2 linked regions of the Arabidopsis thaliana genome follow. The protein of the gene in region 1 interacts with the protein of each later gene in a pairwise test. Each region holds a gene or a part of one and is shown on either strand. Other genes may lie near its edges.

What was found.
Region 2: the proteins of PIN4 (region 1) and FYPP1 interact in a protein complementation assay, tested with the Arabidopsis thaliana proteins (one study listed by BioGRID).

Annotation. Positions count from the first base shown.
Region 1 is NC_003071.7:178,221-189,602, forward strand, and holds PIN4 (Auxin efflux carrier family protein), read right to left. Parts: upstream 5,545-11,382; 5' UTR 4,980-5,544; coding exon 3,785-4,979; intron 3,628-3,784; coding exon 3,360-3,627; intron 3,221-3,359; coding exon 3,135-3,220; coding exon of another isoform or gene 3,124-3,134; exon of another isoform or gene 2,758-3,123; coding exon 2,600-2,757; intron 2,506-2,599; coding exon 2,429-2,505; intron 2,325-2,428; coding exon 2,258-2,324; 3' UTR 1,813-2,257; downstream 1-1,812. Other genes in the region: HB17 (homeobox-leucine zipper protein 17), read right to left, coding at 9,578-9,836, 11,178-11,257, 11,378-11,382. UniProt on the Arabidopsis thaliana protein: Acts as a component of the auxin efflux carrier. Plays a role in generating a sink for auxin into columella cells. Maintains the endogenous auxin gradient, which is essential for correct root patterning.
Region 2 is NC_003070.9:18,653,429-18,664,810, reverse strand, and holds FYPP1 (Calcineurin-like metallo-phosphoesterase superfamily protein), read right to left. Parts: upstream 6,304-11,382; 5' UTR 5,918-6,303; coding exon 5,837-5,917; intron 5,387-5,836; coding exon 5,240-5,386; intron 5,155-5,239; coding exon 5,087-5,154; intron 4,871-5,086; coding exon 4,813-4,870; intron 4,454-4,812; coding exon 4,343-4,453; intron 4,231-4,342; coding exon 4,180-4,230; intron 4,075-4,179; coding exon 3,931-4,074; intron 3,834-3,930; coding exon 3,738-3,833; intron 3,649-3,737; coding exon 3,577-3,648; intron 3,223-3,576; coding exon 3,139-3,222; 3' UTR 2,759-3,138; downstream 1-2,758. Other genes in the region: AT1G50380 (Prolyl oligopeptidase family protein), read right to left, coding at 1-89, 369-660, 867-1,213, 1,433-1,627, 1,729-2,012, 2,160-2,529; VIIIA (P-loop containing nucleoside triphosphate hydrolases superfamily protein), read right to left, coding at 7,705-8,361, 8,450-8,517, 8,621-8,767, 8,853-8,982, 9,069-9,204, 9,331-9,536, 9,728-9,934, 10,081-10,239 and 4 more. UniProt on the Arabidopsis thaliana protein: Catalytic subunit of protein phosphatase 6 (PP6). Dephosphorylates phosphorylated phytochromes, with a preference toward Pfr forms.

The DNA.
Region 1 (11,382 bases):
TATTAGATACTACAACAAAGTAGACATACAACCCCGGAAGTATGGAAATTTGTTGATAGTTATGATTCCTATTAGTATCCACTCTAACCTCAAATATGAATTTTTGAAAATATGAAAGTTCAGAAAGTTCAGATTCGTCGATGGCACTAGCTCTAAACACTAAGAGCATCTCCAATGCTCAACTCTATTTTTTCCTCTATTTTTGAGTTGATTTTATTTTAGAGAAAATATAGTTGATTTTGCTGTATTGTATGCCTCTAAAATAGAGGAAAAATGTAGATATATTTTTCTCTATTTTAGAGAATTACAATGGAGCAAAATCAACTATATTTCCTCTAAAATAGAGTTAGTCATTGAGAATGGTCTAAGTAATTCTGAGTGAAACGTGACGTCTATGGGTAAAATATTCTTGATTTGATTAGTAAATTTATCGAAACAGTAACTAAGAGTTAACGATTTATAGTCACAATTAAATCAGTTAAAGGAATAGCCAGCTGCTACTTTCAAAGTGAATGCATGATCGAAGTTGTTCAGTTTTGAAGGAATGAAAAAAACTTTTTGGTGATATTATCGATACTATGTGGGAATATGATAAACACAATATTTTGACTGTTGATTAGTTCCACGAAAATATGATAAACTCAACATTTTGACTGTTGATTAGTTCCACGAAGATATACATGTTGATATAATCGAAAATGTGGTCCATGTTGTTATAATACTTTGATGCTCGAATTTTGATGTTCGAAACACACGTGGGAAGTTTTTCTTTTTCCATAAAAGTTTGAACTCTATAGGTTTAAAAATGTATAGTTCAAAACGAATCCTTTAGAATTTCCCAAAATAAAAGAACTCACAACTTCTATGGGCATATAGATAAGAATAAGAATATCGGGGCATGTGTGTAAACGAGTAACACAACAAGTTTTACTTGCAAAAGATATAATATGGCAACTTTTGTCGTCAAGTGAAATGCGTCGTCGCTTTCGGGCGAAGCCTGCATGTTGGTCCATCTTAGATTTTGCATTCCATTGAATTTTCTTCACATCCACTCTCCCATTAGTTTTGATGTTAGTTTCGGAATATTTGCTTTGTTTTCTATATAGTATATTGATGCCTCGTTAAATTACTACTTGTTGGATGAGTAATCATACCGTATTTGAATGACCAATCCTAATACGAAAATCAGATGATCAATTCATAACATTAAAAATGTTTGAAAAATGAGATTCACACTACTTTGACATTATAAAGACTACGTTTGATAGTCTCGGGACCATTTTTTCTATAAAGGGTGGTCTTTAGATTCATGTGCGGAAGTTCACAGAATTTGAAGTTAACATAAACTTTTTGAGATTTTTTTCTGCTAGAGATCGTGTATTCTTAAAAAAACGGGACCGTAAACATGCATCGTATGATCATAGGATTAATTAATTAGAGATTAGGATTTTGCTTCTGTCGTAAAACAGTGTTTGTTATCAAGGAATATGCTTAAATTAACTGTAATAAAATAAAATTACTGTCTTTTGAAACTTTTGCTTCTGACTGTTCAGACCTGATTTCTATCATTGACAATCAAGACGATTGACCGACATTCGCAGCGGAATTGGCATCCTATCGCTCCTTAGTTTGTTTTTTCCTTTCTTTCCGTATTAGATTTTTTTCTCGTAGTTTTAACACTCGAACTGATTGTTTAGCTAAAAAAGCTCGGGGTAGAAATAATATTTTCTCCTATGTAAGCATAATGGTTCATGAATGGCTCTCTCTAGCGGAGAATCTCTTCCCGATGAATTAATATTAATGGTATTTGTGGAAAAAATAAATCAGTACGAGGGTGTATATATATAGTATAGGACTATTTCAATCCAACTCATAAGCTAGTTTCAGTATAAACCACTTAACTAGAAACTTCAATTAATAAAAAAAGGTGCATATTACATATCTGCTTAGCCAAAATCTACACATAAATTAACAAAAACAGAAAATGAAAAAATAAAGGTAAGGAAGAGAGATTTTTTCTTCTTGGCGTCTAATGAAGACAAGATCCTTAATCCATTCAAGTCTTGTTCACTAAATCCTAAGTACTTTTGTTGTGTTCCACAAATATTGGAACCAAAAACCAAAGGCATATCTTCTTCTTCACCTTCCACTCTTTCCCACGAAAAATAAAGGCTTTGCTTATTTCCTCGTTACCGAGAAATAAATAGCCCAATCTCCGAGGCTCTCTCAAAAGCCAGTTGATACTGAAGGGACCAATTCAAAGGCCAAGAAGAATATAGTAGACCAGAGTTATAGGTAAGGCTATTAACATTCCAAATATGACCCTGCATCCATATTTTTCACCATCATTCACACATTTGTTAATATATTGTAAGTTTGTAACAAAAATAAAAATGTGGCTGTAACATAAAATAAGTTTGGAACTTACCCAGTGCTTAGAATCGTGGGATGCACATTGTACTCTTTTGCAAACACAAACGGAACTATTCCTTGAGGCAACGCAGCCTAATAATTCATGCATTCATCAACATCATCATCGTGATCATGTAATATTTATAATAGACCTAGCTATATCATGTAACGTTATAAATTTGTATACCTGAACGATGGCTATACGGAGAAGGTCGCCGTGTAAGCCAATGGCAATCCCAGCAACAGCCATGATGGCCGGACCGGTTATAAATCTGACCGCCATGGCAAACGTGGCGACAGAGTTCCCACAAGCAATGATTTTGGGTTGAAGTGCCATGAATAAACCTTAAAATTACACCAAAAATAAGCAATTCATTAACTAAAAGGATTTGAGAAAATTGACAGCAAAGAGTTAGGTCATCTACTTGGTGAGACCCAAATAAGTAGACAGAGCCAGTGGGGACTCGGCGTGGGGACCGGACACACCAACATGTCTGGGTCAGAGGGTCAGGATTCTCTCTTTGGGTAAGTGCTTTGTACAGTTTATATGACTTTTACCAATTACAAGCTGGACAACTACGACTAATTAAACACACAGACCCACTTTGCATTAAATGAATCTTTTTTAACAGATAAGATGAGAACAAATTTGAACCCAACTTTAAAGATTAGATCATCATCAAAACAAGTCTAGATTTGCATGAAGCAAGGTTAGTGTTTACCTAAGCTGAACATAGCCATTCCAAGACCAGCATCTGAGAGTATGGAGATGGATTGTTGTAATATTTTGGGCATAGCCACATGCCACCTGCTTCCAAAAACAACCCATACTCATTATTAGTTCCCACTACAATTATTCCATGCATAGATGATTATATTATTTCCTTTTCTTATTATAACATTTATCCATAAAATCTGTAAGTAAGAAAATGATTGGACTCACTGACCGGTAAGCAACAAGAGCCCATATGAGACCGATTAGACTGGAGTACGTGTTTGGGTTTCTGATCAGCTTTCTCCACACCATTATCAATATCAGTCGTGTCATCACACTTGTCGGCGGCATATGTGTTCCGTTGTTGCCGCCGCCATCTCCACCAGCCGCCTCTAGCTCCGCCGTGGAATTAGACCCCATTTTATTCAGCCCTGCTGTAGCTTTCTCTATCTCTCTTTCTCCCTCTCCACTATCAAGACCGCCGATATCATCACCACCACCTGAGAAAACCAAAAATCATGAATACATACAAAAATAATAGTATTCGAATAATAATAAAATTAAACCAACAAACCTCTAGCATATTATTTATGTAAACAATTTTCCGCAATTTTAGCTAAATAATATTTGATGACAAAAAAAAAAAAAAAAAAGAACCTCTAGCATTACTCTTTCGAGGTTGATCAGAGACAACCATCCGAATCTCCTTAGCACCTTGTTCAGATTGTTCCGTTGCCACGTTGTCGCCTGCACCTCCGCCAAACACGTCGGAGACCGGAGAAGCGCTTGAGCTCCAAACAAACATGTGAAGCTCCTTAGCGTCATGGCTCGCTTTGCTATCTTTCTCTTGCAGTTGCTGTTGGTTTTCTTTAGGAATTTTATTCGGTTTAGTTGAAACACCCGTACCGGTTGAAAACTCCGGGTTCGGAGCCGGGTACGAACCGGCCGCCGGAACAGAACTGTTAGTGTTATTGTAAAATCCATATTTAACGGCGTTGTTCTCTTCGAAGTTCGAAGGCCGTGGAGTCGGACCACGAGAAGATTGAACGGAGTACAAATCCGCCGGACCAAAATTCGAAAGCCTCCCGCCGGGAAACCCCATAACAGAGTAAAAATCAGAATGGTTAAAGTTAGAACCTCTCGGAGTCGAACTAAGACTATAGATCTCAGCTCCGGTAAGATTCGAAGGCCGTGGAGTCATCATCAGTGACCGTCTCGATGCGTTTGATTTCCTCACGGTAACATGAAGCTTCCCGTCGTTTCCTATCTCAGCATCCGTCTCAAGAAAATCATGACCGTCGAGAGAAACGACGTCGGATTCAACTTTAAACGAAACAATAGACGCACCAGTCTCCGGGAACTGCTCCATAATAAGAAGCTTAGCGCCACGGTACTCGAAGAGGAAGAGAAGGAGAGTGTACCAAATGATACACTGAAGAACAACGACTTGGACCATTAGAGAACCTGCGTAGGTTCCGTACATGGCGATCAACAGAGGGATCCCCATGACAAGAGTGTTTGGGAGAGTGCTGAGAGAGAAGATTGTGATCATCCACTCCAAGCTACCGTTCTTGGTTAGGTTAGCCCATAGAGCAAGTAAGACGAGCATGATGATTTTTTGAAGCGTGTCGGCGGCGACGAAGCGGAAATTCATGGCGTAAGGATCGTTGGTGGAGATGAAGTGGAAGGAGAGGAGAGGGACGGCGAAGATAGCGACGAAGCGGTTGATGCCGGAGCACTGGTCTGGTGAGAATATCTTCCACCACTGTACGGATCCGTAGGCGAGAATCATAGCTACGTAAAGTGGTACCACGGCGGTGAGGACGGTGTACAAGTCGTGCCACGTAATCATTTTTTCCGGTGGGTTTTGGAGTTTAGTGAGAAGACAGTGGCATTTGAGGGGGAATTAGAAGGAAGAAGAGGGGTAGAATGGGAAGAATAATAAAGAAACCGTTAAGAGAGAAAAGTACAGTAATGATTTACAAGGATTCGGTGAAGAGGACTAATTTATAGAGGTTTTTGAGGCAGTGACAGTGTCATCATCATCATCAGCACACGATTACGTTTTTTAAGTTTGATTAATAATTTGATTTAAAATGGCTTTGTGTGTAGTTGAGTGGGGACACGTGGCAAATCGCATGTGGGGGGAGTTTTCTGGAGGGACGTGGACAGTTTTATGGAATAGTCGTGCTTTTTTGCTACTATCTTATTACGAAAAAGTGGTCTTGTTTTTGCACTTTTTGAAAGTTGCAAAAGGAACTTTGGCGAATACTACGAATTACTGTATCTGTGATCGTTTTTCTTGTAAATGTAATTTGAGTTTTGATTCCAAATAGAATCAAACTATTGTCTACGTACTTGGTACAAGAAGACAGCCACATAAAAATTACAAGAAGAACAAATGTCATTAGTGTTAGGTCCAAGCCACTGTTGGACCGTTGAATTAATTACACACATTTATTCCCTTTTCAAAAATTCTCACTTGCTATGACTAGAATAATATTTTGTTTTTTGTTTTTGTTTTGTTAAACTTGTAAATATCATTAAAAATAAAATTTGAGGTATTACAAAAAAAATATTACTTATAGTTACTTATATTACAAAAAGTATTTACAAGCTCACATCTCGTCATTTTCTCACTCTTAAAATTTTACTCTCCCTTATCTCTAAAACTTCAGCCGCCGCCTGCGTTTAGGGTTACCGGTTCCGGTGGCTTTCTCAGCACCGGAACCGAAGTCTTTTGTTTTGCTCTTATTCTATCTTTTTTCTTTAGACACATCTGAGAGATTTTTTTCCAACGGTTGTGAATCTGAATTTTCAGATCTAGATATTTAAAGTCTAAAACTTTTTCTTTTTAGGTTTTTGCTGTTTGTCTTTTGTCTTTTTCAAGAACAGAGTCAGATCTGGCCGATCCATCCAAGGCAGAAGCGTTTCTATCCAAATTTTCGCCTCAGACTTCTGAAATTCCACCTGAAGATCCCGATCTCGTTCTCTCCTTCATGAGGCTCTCACTCCTTTGGGTCTCTGGATGATGGTTTTATCTCATCGCCCATTCGTGTTTAGGTTGAGTTAAGTGAGGCTTCTAGTCTCAGATCTATCAGTTTATCATTGTTGTTTTAGACTTTGTATATTTCGTTTGAACTCTTGGATTTTGGGTCTGGGAAGTACTTGATCAGATGTGATGTAATTTGTTAGATCGGTTTTTTTCCCCTTTGTTTCATTTAAATATGTTTTTAGTTCCTGGAAGGTCCCATGTACTCTCCGGCTTTTAGAAGAGTGTTTCTCTTGTCAGCTCTTGTACTCAGATCTTCTATCAATGAAATCTATATTTCCAGTGAAAAAAAAAATAGTTATAGATAGATGTTGGTCTGAGACTCTCCGACTCATTAGACCATCCTCATCGAATAATTTTTCATAGATGTATTTCATATAAAATAATATTAAAGGTATAGATGTCTTAAATGTTTTAGGAAGATATAATTTTCATTTTAATGACCCTCATATTTTTTATTTGTTTTACTCTTTTATATTTAAAAATAGCCATCTAAAAACACTCATAAAAATAACCAATGTGGATACTCTTAAATCAGTTTGGACATAACCAACAAAAAGGAAAGAATAAAGAAGTAGGTGGTCGCAAAATCACTAGGATTTGATAGATTCAAGCAGAAACTAAAAGGAGCGAGATTTCTGGGAAATATCAGAGAAGCAGACGAGGTCAAGTCCTATAAATCTGATGGAGAGTAATGTATAGAGGCATCAATTGTACACTAGAAAATCCCTAATATTACTTACTCATCTAGCTCTAAGAAGTAAGAACATCTCAGCGAAATCTTTGTAACTTTATTTCGGTATATAAAAGTCCAGTTTGATTCTTAAAATTGTGATCATGTTTGATTCGATGGAGGACTAGTTATGCGATCTTGCATCCACAATAGAGTAATATTGACCAGAAAGAAATTACAAACAAAGTTACAATAGTATGACATGGAAAAATACCAAATCCAAAGGATCATCAACGTTGGAATGTAAAAATTTTGATTTGTGTAACTCATAGTCATAGGATGTGTTCGAGGAGTGAATAATCTCCCATGCTTAATACTAGTATATATCTGGATGCGAAATTCGCAATTTTTTTATTTTTGTAGCGAAATGGTAAAAAGAGATTCAAAACATTCATCCAGCAATCACTTTAATTAATCCGAATGATTGCAAATGAAAATAGATTCTTTATTGAACACATATGTTTACAAAACAAGAATAGTATTTTTTTCTCATAAGCCTTCCGGAAAAAGTCTACTTCATCATAGAAAAATGAGAAAAATGATCAATGATCATCTATGAGATCAACGATCATAGATGGGATTTGTAACACAACAACACAATAACGGGTTTCATCAATTTTCAAGTCTACTTCATCATCCATCAAGACTTTGGTCTTTAAATATACAATGGAAGCAAATTAAAATGATCGTTCAAAAATCTTACAAACCAGGAAACATAGAAAAGTGAGAATGTGGAGATCAGTTCAATGATATTGTAACTATTGAAAAACGGTTTTTGATCGGCTTCACTATCTCCGAAGGCAACGTTCAACTTGTCTTCGAGCTCCCTGCAAGCCGTCTTGACCCGTGATCATTGATCTCAACATTTTCGATAAAATCAAACTTACATCGTAGCCGACTGAAGAAGTATGGCATCCGAATGAATTGGTAATAACAAATTATAGTTTTGTTTCTCTCCACAATATATATGTGTTATTGTAACAATGATTATTGCTTGGTAACCAAAATATATAGTCGTAAGAATATCATTCACATCTTTATCTACCAGACCTGTGATGTAGATAAACTTGCTCAAATTCAAAGGATCATGGATTAAGCACTTGAGTACTGTATATCATTTCCCGTCCAAGATCATATTATTATTATTCCGCCCGCATAAGACACTTCAATTATATGTCCAACCCAATCATGTCTGATCCATATATTTATTTTCTAGACAAATAGAGTTTGACCTAACACTACTTGATAGTTGATACGACCAATCAATAATCATGGGATATTGTTTAGGAGATTTGAGTATTTTCGGACGAGGGGGTATATTTGTTATAATTAACGACATATTTTCTAACACACACCTAATCACATGGCGAAGACTGAAGAAACGAGAGCACGAGTCACACTCACCATTAATCGTTTTTTTTGTTTGTTACATTAACTACAAATAAACTAGCATTCAAACACATATTATAGTATCAAGATTACGATGATATAAATAGAATTATAGACCCTTAGATAGAAACGTATCGAGTTTGGCGTACCTACAAGATCAATGCTCTTTTCATATATATATATGCTTATAATAATAAACATATGCATGTTCGTTCGTTACATGTAATATCTCGCAATGGATCAAATCTTATGGTAAGACACGATGATCTGGATTCTGGTCCCATGCAAAAGAAAAGATCACAGCTGTGATTTTCTCAAAACTCAAAAGAGCTAAAGCGTCCTTATTATTCCCTAAGCAGACGCTTGATGGTTTAACAAACCAATGAGCTAGAGGGGTATGTCTGATGTCTTGATCAAGTCTGGTGTCTCGAAATAAACACAAACTAGTTTTAGGCCTCGGCCAAATTTATTTGGTACCGGACCGAACCGAATTTAACTAAGAGGTACCAAACCACTGAACTAGTCGAAGGCCCAAGTTATGATGGGCCACTAAATTTAACGGCTACAGTGTTTCGCGTTCTTATGACTTAGATCACAACATTAATGCAACTATAATTTGTCTTCAAAGAACACAAGTTTTCTTTTTTCCCCAAAAATCAACATATGTCATTTAGAATTTAATTAGTTAAAAATTAGTTTATATACAATGTAGCACTCCCTACATTTTTTGGTAAAATGTAAAGTATTTATACCATTTTTGAAATTGTGACAGAAATTACAAGAAACACAAGAAAAGGAAAAAGATCAAAATCTATAAAAAAAAGATGATAACAAAACAGTAAAAGAGGAGAACGAATGTTTATAGCGAAAACGAAAGAAGAAACACCAATTCAGAGAAACTCAGAAATTCGCGTGATTTCCACAACTCCAAAAAGCTGGAGTCCCATCCTAGTTACCGCGAGCAAACTCTAACAGAGACCAATACAACGAACAAATTTTACGGGTCAATATGGGAGTAATAAACTCAACAATTGAATTTAGTAGACTTTTGTGATAATGATCTGAGATATAATTTTTCTAAACAGTATCTTATGTTATTTCAAACAAGATTAAATGATAAGGGACTTCTGGTTAACAATAATAATAATAATATTTACAAAGCGGAACAGAGTCTCTTAGTATTTACACGAAATCATGTGATCGTTAATATTTTGTAGGCTCAATAGCAGACCTTCGTTGACTTCTAAACCATACTCAAATAATTAAGATACACAAATCAACGATCACGCTCTTGCGGCGGAAACGTTTTCTTAGCCGGAACCGGCACCACCGCCCTCGAAGGGCTCGCGGCAGGGGTAACTCGCTCGCAGCGAGGACACATAGTAAGGCTCGAGGCAGAGTTCACCGTTGTTGGGCCAACCTTCATGGCTCTAAGCTCTTCTACTTCTCTATGGAGCCTGTGGTTTTCTTCCGTTAATGAACCAAACCACCTTTTGAGATACTCGCATTCCATCTCGGTTTGCTTCAATTTGCTCCTAATCCAAACAAATCCAAAAACGTACAGTACGATACGTTATTTTTTGACATGTACGCGCGTAAACACATTAAACTCATAGATGTTTTTGTACAACTTGTAAATTATAACATGCAAGCAATGATCAAATGCTAGGTGACGATGCAAATATAAAAAATCATGGAATTAAAAACGCATGAACTGCCCAATGAATTATGAGTCAAAGGGCATTGATGAGAAAGCAAGTACACGAGGCACAAAAAAGAAAACACGTTGATTGATTTACTTAAAAATTTATTAAAAAATAAAAAATCAAACATATAAAAAATTCAAAACGAAAAAAGGCTTTAAAATACTTCTATTATAAAAAAGGGTGTGGTTATGATTATAGACTTATAGTTATAATTTGGGAAACCGTCATAATAGTTATACGACCAATGTTGAAATTCTTCTTATTTATTGCACCATACCTTTCCCATCTGCTCACAATTATTGTGGGATCTAGATAAAGGAACTATTTTTATATTGAGTCTAAAAAAGAAAAGACAATCTAACCAATTTTCAGTTTGAATAACAATGACTATCGGATTATATAGATTGATTACTAATATGTGTGTTTACACATGAACAATATATATTCATGCAGAAACTAAAGACATATAACCTATATACGTTACCGGGAAATTGTAATAAAACGACTGATGCGTAATGAGTTCATGAAACATTGAGACATATGCATTGACACGTGAATATTTAGGTAAATGAAATAATGTATACACGTATTGACGTACACGGGCCAAAGTGTTTTGTAAAACTTGCTCCAAGTTACATCACACATTAAACATGTAATGGATATCACAATTGGCGGCTCCAAAATGCTGTTGTCACTTTTGAAAGTAACCATGCAACAACACATATGTACGTGATGTTGATATATATAACTACTTCAACATTAACATATTACTTTTATTAATACGTGTGGCTGTTAATTAATCTCTTTCCGTAATTTCTTTGACTTCAAAAATTTAGGAATTGACATTTTCCTTCTCTATGTGTAACAACTAAACAAGTGGTGACTCTTCAAGAATTTAAGAAGGACCTAGAAGGAAAACATTATAAAACAAATATTTGATTTAGGACAAGATTAGCTTTTTATTATTTAAGGGTACGACTTATATATACACGTTAACGGGGTGGGTCGAATCCGATTCAGATTTCATTTTTTCTGCTTTATTTTTATATTCCGTCAACGTTTAACGCTTATATTTTTGTGAACTCTCTCGTTAATCATCAACCACCCACCAATGATGTAAGAAAACAAAAGTCTCTTAAGAAAGAAACAAAGAGGAAAATAAAACCGTACCTTGCTCTACGGTTTTGAAACCAAACTTCAATTTGTCTTGGCCGTAGCATCAAATGCTTGGCAAGTACTTCCTTTTGTTTCTATGTTTCACAAAATAAAAAACAAAATAGATTAACATTCAATACAATTCTTTTTGTTCTAAAATTAAAAGATATAAAAACAGCAGAAGTAGTTATGTTTTATTGTGAATAATAAATTACGGGAT
Region 2 (11,382 bases), on another chromosome or scaffold:
ACAATAGACATTGGAATTTGAGTTCCGTCTGATGCAGCGACCCACTTTCTTTCTGTAACATAATTTGATGCATCAAAACCTCCCAATACCTGAATGAAATACAGCAGGCTATCATAAAGATCAAGCGATGACCATTTCAAAAGAGAAGGCATGTTAGGGAAAAATGCGTAAAAACACAGTACCAGTAAAAAAAAACTAAAATTTTTCATAATTTTCATGTGTTGTATTTCAAAATTGTCAATACGACTTATTACCATTCAATGAAATACGCTTATGCATTGCAAATAAAATCGGCAACTAAATATGCAGAGGACATAGGAAATTGATCCAAAGTGAGGGAGAACGAATGAATAAGTAGTTTTACTTACTGTGTCAATCTTCTTGACAACGGAAGTGCCACTGTCCATGTCATAGTCATACACAGAAGGAGGTGTTTTCATTGAGCAGTATTTAAACCTTAAAACCCTGGACGAAAATTCGGACTCGGTTGAGTCAACTGAATAGACCGGGTCAACAAAGCTCACATTACGACCACCTTGGAGACCTTCCAGTGGCTGTCCCTCAGCAGGAAGCCTATGAACTGTGATCTTCTGCAGTCCGTTTTCACGCTCGAAGACTGCAAGATGATCTCGGAAAAGCTGAATTTCCTGAATCTTTACACTGTCCATGCAAATATAATTGTTTAGCTAGGCATACAAGGTGACCTTGATGTTAAATGCATTATAAAACTAATCTAGCAACTGGAAAACAACCCAGCATGCATGTCGTCTAAGCCGAAGGATATACATGATATTAAAATTAGTTATACTTCATTTGGATTTTGGATAGGCCACAATGGCAACCAGATTCTAACAAAAAAAGTTTACCTTTCTCTATGTGGAAGCAGAACAGTTGTCTTTGATGTGTCATCAACTGGACAGGCGATCAGTTCTGAGTTGTAAAATTCAGTGCTCCTTCTCTGGATGAAAAAGTGGTTCCCACGATGACTGACAGATGAATCAATTCCATCTACACGAGGTGTCAACACCCTGAGTCCATCCTGAGTCTTGGACACATCAAGCGAGAAGACAAATCTTGTAGTTTTGCTTTCAGATGCAACAAATAAATACTTATGGCTCTCAGAAGCGTGGAGTTCAAGAGAAAACATATCATCCTTCTCATGGTAAAGGCATACATCACTGCTCTGCTCTGTCCCTAATTTATGTAACCAAACCTGTTACAAAGAATATATGAAGATCAGAACATGAAAGCCAAAAATATTGACGTATCTCATAATAAGTACAGTCAAATTTGGTAAGAAAATATGGCATCTATGAGGTGTATAATGTCAACAATTGATCGAAACGGTAAAATCTATATTCATGCAAAAGTTAATCCCTTCCTCCAGTACTATACACTAAGACAGTAGGGTGGGAAAAGATTGAAGGTAAACCTTATCAGGTCGCAGGATTTCGTCCATTGTTATGTAGAGCAAAGCATCATTACCAGCCCATTCAAGATAAGAAGTAAGTCCTTTAAGCTGTTGCCCCACTGGTTTTAGGGCTTCAGAGTCGATGACATTCACTGTATATATCTCATCACCTTTTGTGTCCTCTGCATATGCCACCAATTTATGATCGGGACTCGCCTATAAAAAGAATCAAGAAAATGAAACATCAAGTTAGTAAAGAGCAAGTTTGAAAAGGATATCTCTTAGGACGATTTTTAAAGTCTATTTTCTAGTCAAACCTTGAAGGCCCCAATTCTGTAGTAGTCATGCTCTTGAGCCTTGGTATTCTCATCCAATATCACATGCTCAGGAGGAGCATCTGGACCAGTTGGCATAGTATCATAGACAGAAGGCTCAGCTTTGTTGTCAGTGATCAAACGTCTACAGTGCTGAATATATTCCTTTCCTTGAAGATTTTTCTCATAATAATAGTAAGGACCCTTGCGTAGAGGTGCAGATATATCATCTTCTTTGATCCTCCCTCTTATTTCAGCAAACAGCTGATTCTCAAATTGCTTGGTCCCTGAATTTTTATTTTCCAGTCTAATTTATCACAAGCTTGCATAATCAACAAGTCACTAATACTCCAAATTGAAAACAAGGAAAGCTAAAAACCCTAATCCCCTAAGTATCACAACGTCACTGACAGAGGCAACTTGAAAAGACTCACCAGACATGACGAAATCAGTGTAGTGATTTTCTTCACGAAGATAAGAAAGCATGTCGGGATTGGTGCGAGAATCGTCACGGAGCCAGTAGTAATTGTCAACCCTAACGTCACCGAACATCTCCATCACATGCTCCACCTTCTTCGCTACAGGAGGGGATCTCGATTCCGCCATGTCTCTCGGTGATGTCAACCGCACTGACGCAGCTCCGGTTTCAGAGGAAGAGGAAAAAGAAGAAGACAGCCGTAGAATAGAGCGGCGGCGAGGAACAAGAGGAACGAGGCAAGAGAGAGGAGTATCGAAGTGGAGAAGACGACTACGAGTCGCGAGAAAGTGAGTGCCGAGAGATACGAGTCCACGCCTTATTATCATATTACGTGTCCGTTTTAGTTGCCTAGAGACTCGCGACCAGTTTGTTAATAGAGGACAGGTCATATCCGGTTTGGATAAACCGGCCTATCTATGATTCCGGTTACAAAATTATTAACTCTTTCGTGAATTTTTGCTAGGATTATTGAACAAAACCAAATAATTAGATTAGAAACAAATTACTGTTGAATGTTGATTAATGGTCTTCTATGTTCTTGTAGTGGACTATTTTTGAGCTTGATGAATTTTATAAGCCTGAGATTAACCCAGAACCTAATCAAACCGTGCTAAACTGCAAATAAGCTGAGATGATAAAAATTGGTCTTGCTTACAGAACAAAGATGAAACAAAACAAGAAAGAAAGCACGTATAATAATAACATCCAGAAGAGGTTCAGGTTAAAGTGCATCAAAACCACTAAAATTACCAAAGTGACATTCACTTTCACAAGAAAATGTTTCCAAAATGGAAAAAGGAAAAAAAAAACAATGGAAGTGTAAACAACATCAGAAGATATACCTTGAAAGAACATAAGCCAATGGCAATCATGATAATGGCTAACTTGATAAGAGCAATACGAGACTAATAATGATGTAGGATCATCATCATGAATCACAGGAAATAAGGAACACCTGTCCTTGGCCCTCTCATTTGATTGTTCTCTTCTGTCTCCGTGAAGAACTTCACTTCCCTTTCCTGGTAATTAAGCATATTTTAACAAATCATTACTGTCAGTGAGGACCAGATCCTAAACACTTCCCAGAAACAGGTCTATATATGAAAAGTAACACACAGAGCACAATCAATATGGACAGACTGATTCCACGCGAACTGTGAATTGTTACTAAATAAATGGCTTAAACATCATAACTCTATCTCACAAGAGTCACTCATGTGTATATGTTTGGGTCGAGAGACAAGTATCAAAGGCAGTAACTTATTTAATCAAAAAGGAAAAGTAGAATCCGAAGACGAGTGCATAAAAGTAAGAAGAACATGAAACAAGATATTGTGGCAGATCAGTAACAAAAGAGAAAACAAATGCCTCACCATGTTGTCATTGAAACTCAATATAGAAGCCACATTCCCACAACGGTAGCAGTAATTAGGCGCAGACCACACCTTTACAAAAAAAATAAAGAGAAGAAACATCACCAAGCAGATTATACTTCCAACTATCCAAAATGATCATAAGGAAGCAAGGCACTTACAGTTACAAGACCTTTATCTTGGAACATGTACTTGAGACCTTCTTGTACAAGCTGGTGAGCGCGACATACTAGATCAAGATTGTTAATATGGTTAAACTGCACAAGAAGCAAAACCACAGATCAGGGAACTGAAATACATTTATTTCTTTTCACACCTTATTCAAATTTCAACCCCAGAAAAAAATATAAATACCTCAGTGGTAACCCTGGACCCGAAAAGCCAACCAGCTCCACGTGGACTGACAGCCCATGTTTCAATATCTTCAGGATCACTCCACATAAGATCACAGAAGGGTCCTTCATGCGGTATTTCGCAATTCCGCTCAATCAATCTTATCTAGAGAACAAAATAACATCTAAATGAGTAAATGAGATTTAATCTAATCATAAATAACACTTGCATGGTGAAAACCAAAAGTAATTTAAAATAGCACATTTTAACCTGGTCAATTGTCCGTACATCAGGTGAAAGGCCACCATGAACACATAGAACCTACATTGAGGATGCAATACGTTTTAATATGGTATACAGCTAACTTATGCATTCATAAAATTATACAAGAACACATCATAACACAATGCCAAAGAAGCTGAGAAATACTTACAGTGCCATCTATAATAGCTGAAAGTGTAAGATAGTCAAAAACATCCGTGCAATATCTCCAAGCATTAGCATTACCATACTTCCTTTGGCATTCGTCATAGAAACCATACACCTAGCAAATATAAAATTGGTACGACAATTTAAGAAAACTATAAAAATGAACCTGCAGGGCACAAAATATCACTACAATCTTCGTCCTTGACAGTGGATGTTAAAAGATATAGGATATGGTGTAGGATAGAGATAAATCAAGAGCTTCCGAGAAGAAAACTTATGGTTGCAAAGGGTTCACATAAAATGCATCTTAGTTAACATCTATGCCTATATCTAGCATGGCATTGCCACATGTACAAAATAAACTTTCAAAACTAGTTATAACAATTGAGCGAAAATTACTTCTCAACCAGTAACTGCGTGAAGAGCACAGCAAGTCAGCAACAATAGATATAAATGGATTAGAATAATGCATACCTGAGTTAGCTGTCTACTTTCATGATTTCCACGCAAAAGAGTGATATTGGCTGGATGTCTACATATTGAAATACAAGGAAACGAGTGATTTTAAGCTCACAGCAAAGTAAGTTAGAATATAAATTTCCTGGAATACAAGTTAAATCGATTTTCCAGTAGAGCAATGCGTTTACAGCTTAAAGAGCATTCTCAAGAGAACTATGATATACAGTGTGAAACGGAAGGATGACGATCCATGACATATATAACGCACAATTTCTACGGAAAATCTTACCTTGCTTTAAGAAGCAAAAGAATGGTGAAAACTTCAAGACTGTTGTAACCTCTATCAACGAAATCCCCCTGAGAAAATCCCCCACAGATAATTAAACTATGTGTTACATATTGATATGTCATACGAGCCTACGCCCAAAGTCAGAGTCTATACCATAAATATGTAATTGGTCTCGGGAACATGACCTCCGGTCTGGAAAAGTTTCATAAGATCATGAAACTGGCCATGGATATCACCACAGACGGTGACAGGACTGTTGACAGGTTGTACATTTGATTCCTCAATAAGAATTTCTTTCACCTATATAATAGTCAAAATATCTTGTGAATTACCAGAGTATCTTAGCAAATCATTGTCATGAAAAAAGAAGAAGACGGCTGCTACTACAAGTTTCAACACTAAAATTACTATAATAAATCCTCAAATAACAGTTTGCAAGCGTGGACTTGGTGCATCCATAAATTGGCTAAAGAAGAGCTAAACTTATCCCTAATTCCTTAGAATTTAGAATTGAAATAGCAAAGTCAATAAATCCTCTATTGGAAAAATGAGAGAAAAACCCTAAAATCCGTAGACCAAAATGGCAAAGGAAACAGTAAGGGAGAGAGACCAGATTCAAAGTAAAGTGCCACAAAGCAAGCTCTAAAGTCTCAAAAGAGTAAGCGAAGAATTGGGTTTTTGTAGATGCATGAATATTCGGGGAAGAGAAAGCAAGCAAGAGAAGAAAGAAGAAAGAAGAAGAAGGCGTACGTATTCGCAGAGAAGTTGAAGCTCGTCCTCAGAGAGATGTTGGCCGTCTTTAACCTTGGAAATCCATTGATCTAAATCCATGGCGGCCTTTTATTATCCTCTCTGTCTCTCTCTTTCGGTGGTGAAGTGGAAATTGGTGCTGTTTCTTCGATTTCAATGGTGAGTCTCGACGATCTCTGGTGAAGAATTGAAAGAAAGATAGATCTAGCAGAGCATTGCTCCGTCCGCTTAGGGTTACGTAAGGGGGAAAGAGGGAGAGAGAGAGAAAGGGGAAACACAACGAACCAAACAATCTCGACCCGAACCCGATTTGGTCTTCCTCCATCCCCAAACTCTATTCGTTGGATATTTATTTTTAATCATTTTTTTGGCAACATATTAAACATCAATTTAATTTTTATCTATTACTTCATTACACAAATCTTTAATGGAGTATACTACACATTTTCAATGTTTTTGCAATTCTTTTCTTGGTAATTTTATTTGTCTACTTGAATGTGACAATTGATAACACCTAAATAAAATTCCACAAATACTTAAACCTTCTTTATAGTATTTTTTCTTCTTTTTAATTTTTTTAAAAAAACACATTTCGATATATGTGTTGTTGAATTTGAGTAAGACCTTTTTGATAATTAAAAACTCCTAAAAAAAATTATTTAAAAGTCTTGTTAAACAAATTGTGTCTAAAGACACATTTCGAAATCTATGTGATGTTGAACTTTTGAGGAAGGTTGTTTGTGGGAGACCGTACGGGATATGTTAGAAATGAATCAATGATCTTGGATAGGCATTAGCAATACGATCGTTCAAGAGCGAACCTCACTCGATTCATTTCAATGTTTATGTTTGGGTCTTCCCATTTGGCTTCTGGTTAGGGATAATTTGAGAAGGAAAAGTATTGTTATGATGACCTCTAAAAATGACAAAATGGAATTTGTCTCACCAAAAAATCTCCAATGTTCAAATTACATCCGAAAAAATCACTAGTCGGAGGGCCAAATATTACGGAAAGTATATATTGGTGTTGGTTTGGTTTATACTTGGTCGAGAGGTGATCCGAAACTTAGTTCCACTTAAAAAAGTGATGCATCGCAAAGGTAATTCGAAATTTAAATTGTGAAGAGTTTACTCAGCTGCAAGAATAGAAATGATTTTTCTCAGACATGTTCATTTCGGGTTTGGGCTGGATTGAGTTTTTTTTTAACCCACGACAACATTCCAAGAAAGATCACTTGTTGAAGAGGGATTCCACCAACTGACCATCTGATACAAGTGCATGATTTATCATATGTAATTTTATCCATCAAATTATCTAAATTTTTGTAGAGTCTAAGTCGAGATATCACTGAAATCGGCCAAAAAAACTAGTAGTTAAATAGTTTTTAAAATACACATTGTCCAAACACGATAAAGATTTTTTAAACTCAAAACAATCTTGTATAAAATCTATACAATTTTTTTTTCCCTTTCTAACTCCATATGTTTACAAACAAACAAACTTGTAAGGAAATTTATATTATTATCATAGTTTACCACCTTGTAGTTATTTCTCGCTATGTCCATTTTAATTAGCTTGATAAAAAACTTAACTATTTAAGAAATATAAATATTGATTTGTTTTTGCAACGACTATTTATATTCAAATACAGCAATGGTTCACTGGACTTTGGAATCCTTGACAAATAGATATACTGTATAATATAAAAATTATTTACTGAATTTGCCAATAGATTTGGGTGGCAAATGAAAAACATGACTCTTTCAGTCCCAAGGAGCCTTCTCACTTCTAGCAGCAAAGCCAAAAACCGTAGTTACATCAAACGTGTAGAAAAGGAGACGTGCGTCTCAAGAAAAGGAAGTAACCATTAATACCTAGTACTCCTCAACCTCCCCCACCAATTCATCTTCACCTTCTCCGCTGAACCACCTGTTTCTTCACTCCCAAGTTTGCTAAGTATCAGTTTCGTTTCCCTTAGTCTCCCTCCATAATCTTTCTTCCATGTCTCAAACATCTGTTTCAGCCTTCGTAGCTCCCGGTCCGGATTCAAGTTTGCTTCCACCTGACCAGATTTCACTTCCATCAAGAACTTTCTGTCGTCACCAAATACCTGAGCTCTTTGTCCAAATTCCTCAGCTAACCGGCTTATCACGCTTAAACCCACGCCTACACTTCTTGACCTGCCATGGCCCATTTGGTAATGACTACCTCCTGAATCTAAATCTGTTGCATCGCTTGCATTCACCGATGCATCCGAGTTTCTCGCTGAGTCCTCAACCTCTAGGCTTTTCTTTGCGATGGAAAGACTGGATTGCAAAGATTTCATCTGCTTTTGCCAAATTTCTTCCATGGATTTCATCTTTGTTTCATATTCAGACCACCGGTTATCGTACTGCTGGACTCTTTGTCGGAGGATGTCGTTCTCCTCTTCTTTCTCACGAAGAGCAGCTTCGGTTCTAAGAACCCTACGCTGAAGATCGGAAAGATATGATGCCTTCACTAGCACCTCGTCTGACTCATTTCTCTACATAAAGAATTGGTTTAAGAGTCTAGCAATATGCATATATATCATGTAGTCAAATGCACGAAGAGAATGAAAGCTTTGAGAGGACCTTGGTGCCACCAGAACTAAGCCATCCAATATCCCCCGCACATCTTCTAACCAGCTCTCCACGAATTGCTACAGAAAAAGGTTTCAGCATTTCTTGAAACTTCTATTTTTTAAAAATATATTTTGAGGTTTAATTTGTTTCAATCATGAGAATTAATCAACCCTATTTTACCTGATTGTATTACAGCAGATGCATCAACTGTGGCTTTATACTGTTGGCTAGCAATCCTTCTCTTAACATGGCTTTGTATAGCAGCAGAAGCTCGATGCCTCTGCAGTAACTCCGTGTATTCCTTTCTCATCTTTTCTCCACGAACAACTGAAACAGAAGGATGTGTGAGGTATGGTTTCTAACGACATAACAAATACAAACCAAGATATTGAAATGAGACAAGGGGCAATACATGATTGAAGAATAGTAATTCCGGTTTTAAGCTCTTTTAGACGACAGCGAGCTTGGTGCCCTCTAAAATAACTTTGAAGACGTAAAATGCCATGCAGAGTGCGATTCCTTGTATCTTCAAGAACCCCAATCTGCAATGGTGAAGCAAGTATACTGCAGTAAGAATGTCTAATTTGTGGCCCCTAAAGTCAAGACATCAGACGACTAGTTATAGTACCTGGCCAGTTCTGAAAAACAATTTTGTGTAGCCAACTTGGTACATCTCTGGCAAGATATTAAACTGATGGAGAATTGCAACCGAAACACTTAGAGGATCTTTTGCTGCAATGTTCTCCAGCAGAAGGAAACCATACCTAAAGTATGACAAAAGAAAAACAGCATGACCATTCAACATTATTGCAACTAAAAAGTATGGGAAGCCTATTATAAGAGGACATGCAATACAATGAAAGTGCACCAACTGGAGATGGAGTTGTTACCTTCGGGCAAATTTATGATGAAACATTCTCGTGGGAAATCCAGACCGGGATATTCGAACGACCTCTAGGACACCACAACATCTTAGCTGCTGTAAGACAAGTCCTTGCTCATACAACCCGGCAGACTGAACATTGTTTGGCTTTATGCAGCGAATAAAATGTGGGGTAGTGTTCCCTAGACGTTGCATCAATTGGAAAAGTTGACCCTGAAAAAAATATCCCGGCATCGTCACTAATCAAATATTATAAGATGACGTTTCCTTCTAAAGTAAGCAGAAGCCTTTTGGACAAGAAATGGACAACATATGTTGATGAGATGAAAGCTGTGATGAGTAAACCCTCAACAAATTTTAAGAGCAGAAATAGAAGCAAGCTGTGTTTAAGGAAATCACCCAACCTTAAATTTAGTTGCTACACTCAGTCGCTGGGAATCAGCTCCACCTGCTTTGTGTAAAGGACCGACAAGAGGTTTTTCAGAATAAATGAGCATACTAGAAGCAAACGCCTGAGGGAGGTGGCAAGAGCAAGACGACAAAAGTTGAATAGAATCTGAATGCAACAAATCTCGGTTCTTCTCTAGAAATCCAGTCGTCTCATATGTAACCTGAGTTAGAAAAAAATCACACTAGGTTACTGATTCATTCTTGATTTCTAAACCTCAAAATTGATCCCAGAAACTCTACTCTATATCATGTCTTGTGTTCTGATATATCATGTAAAATGGTGCCACTGAGTTTTTAGAGCTATTACCTCTCCAGCATAATGCGCAACTGTGAAAGCCTTCCCCCGATCTCCTCTAAAACAGGAATTATCATTTAGATGTTGTTTAAGCTTGTTGGCAAGTGTCAAATCTGTGCCATTTGGAAATGTGGATTCCTCATCCAGAAGAGAAAGCAGCCCTAATGGTTTCTGCACAGAAACGATTCTTAATTGTCTTTAAACACATGTTTTGATATAACAATAGATCGTTCCAACACGATAAACTCAACAGTTGCTATGCAGCTTGATGATGAGACATCATCGGCAAAATGTTAATATATTATCCTGAGTAACAGACATACTGATATGTAACATATGATGATTGCTGACTCTAGATGAAATTAGCTATCACATTACCTTTTCAAAGAGACTAAGACATTCTTGGTTGTCCTCAAAATCAACCCTTGTCCAGTCAATGCCATCCTGAATATATTCCTGGAAGAGAAGACAGAAATATAAATCCCTCAGAACTCGGTAGCTGGTGTGTACATGTCCATGCTCTGCCTAGATATACTACAAGGACCCATAGCAGAAAGGGGTTTACGTTACCTCCTGCTCAAGCTTGAAGAGATGACGGTTGAAGTGTTGCTGCAATCTCTCATTTGCATAATTTATACAGAACTGCTCAAAACTATTTTTCTGCAACATGTATAGTATTTATTCAGCAAACCAAATTAACATTGGTACAAAATGTAACACAGAAGATGTAATGTGCAGATAGCTTATGTAAGTTCATGCAGTAAAACGCAAAGGGAGACTAAAAACCAGCATACATTGAATGATTCAAAGCCATAGATATCAAGAATGCTGATGGATCTGCCAGTTCTCCTCTTTCCCACCGCAAGAGATTTGTTAATCTGTTCAACTAGCCAGTCAAATAGGCAGGCATAGATTGACTTTGCTAAAGCATCTCTTGCGTCAATGGCCTGGAAGCAAATAAGAAAAACTTTCACCACAAAAATAAATGAACAAGGCTTGATTCCAAATAAGTAAGAGGGGGCATAGATCATGATTACAGTGTTAAAACCAACCCTACTCAGAATAAAAGTACACACAAAGAATCAAGTGAAAAAAAAAATCTTTCTAAAAGGCCTACCTGCGATAGTGTTAGCTTCTGTACAATAGTATCATTATTAACTCTCATATTACGCTTTGATAGAGCTAGCTTAAGCTCATTGATGTTGCACCCAATCAATTTAGCAACAGTTGACAAACCTGGAAAACAAAAAAACAAAACAGCAGTTATATAGCCTTGCATTGCGCACCCTGCCAAATGAGCTACAGAGATTAAGC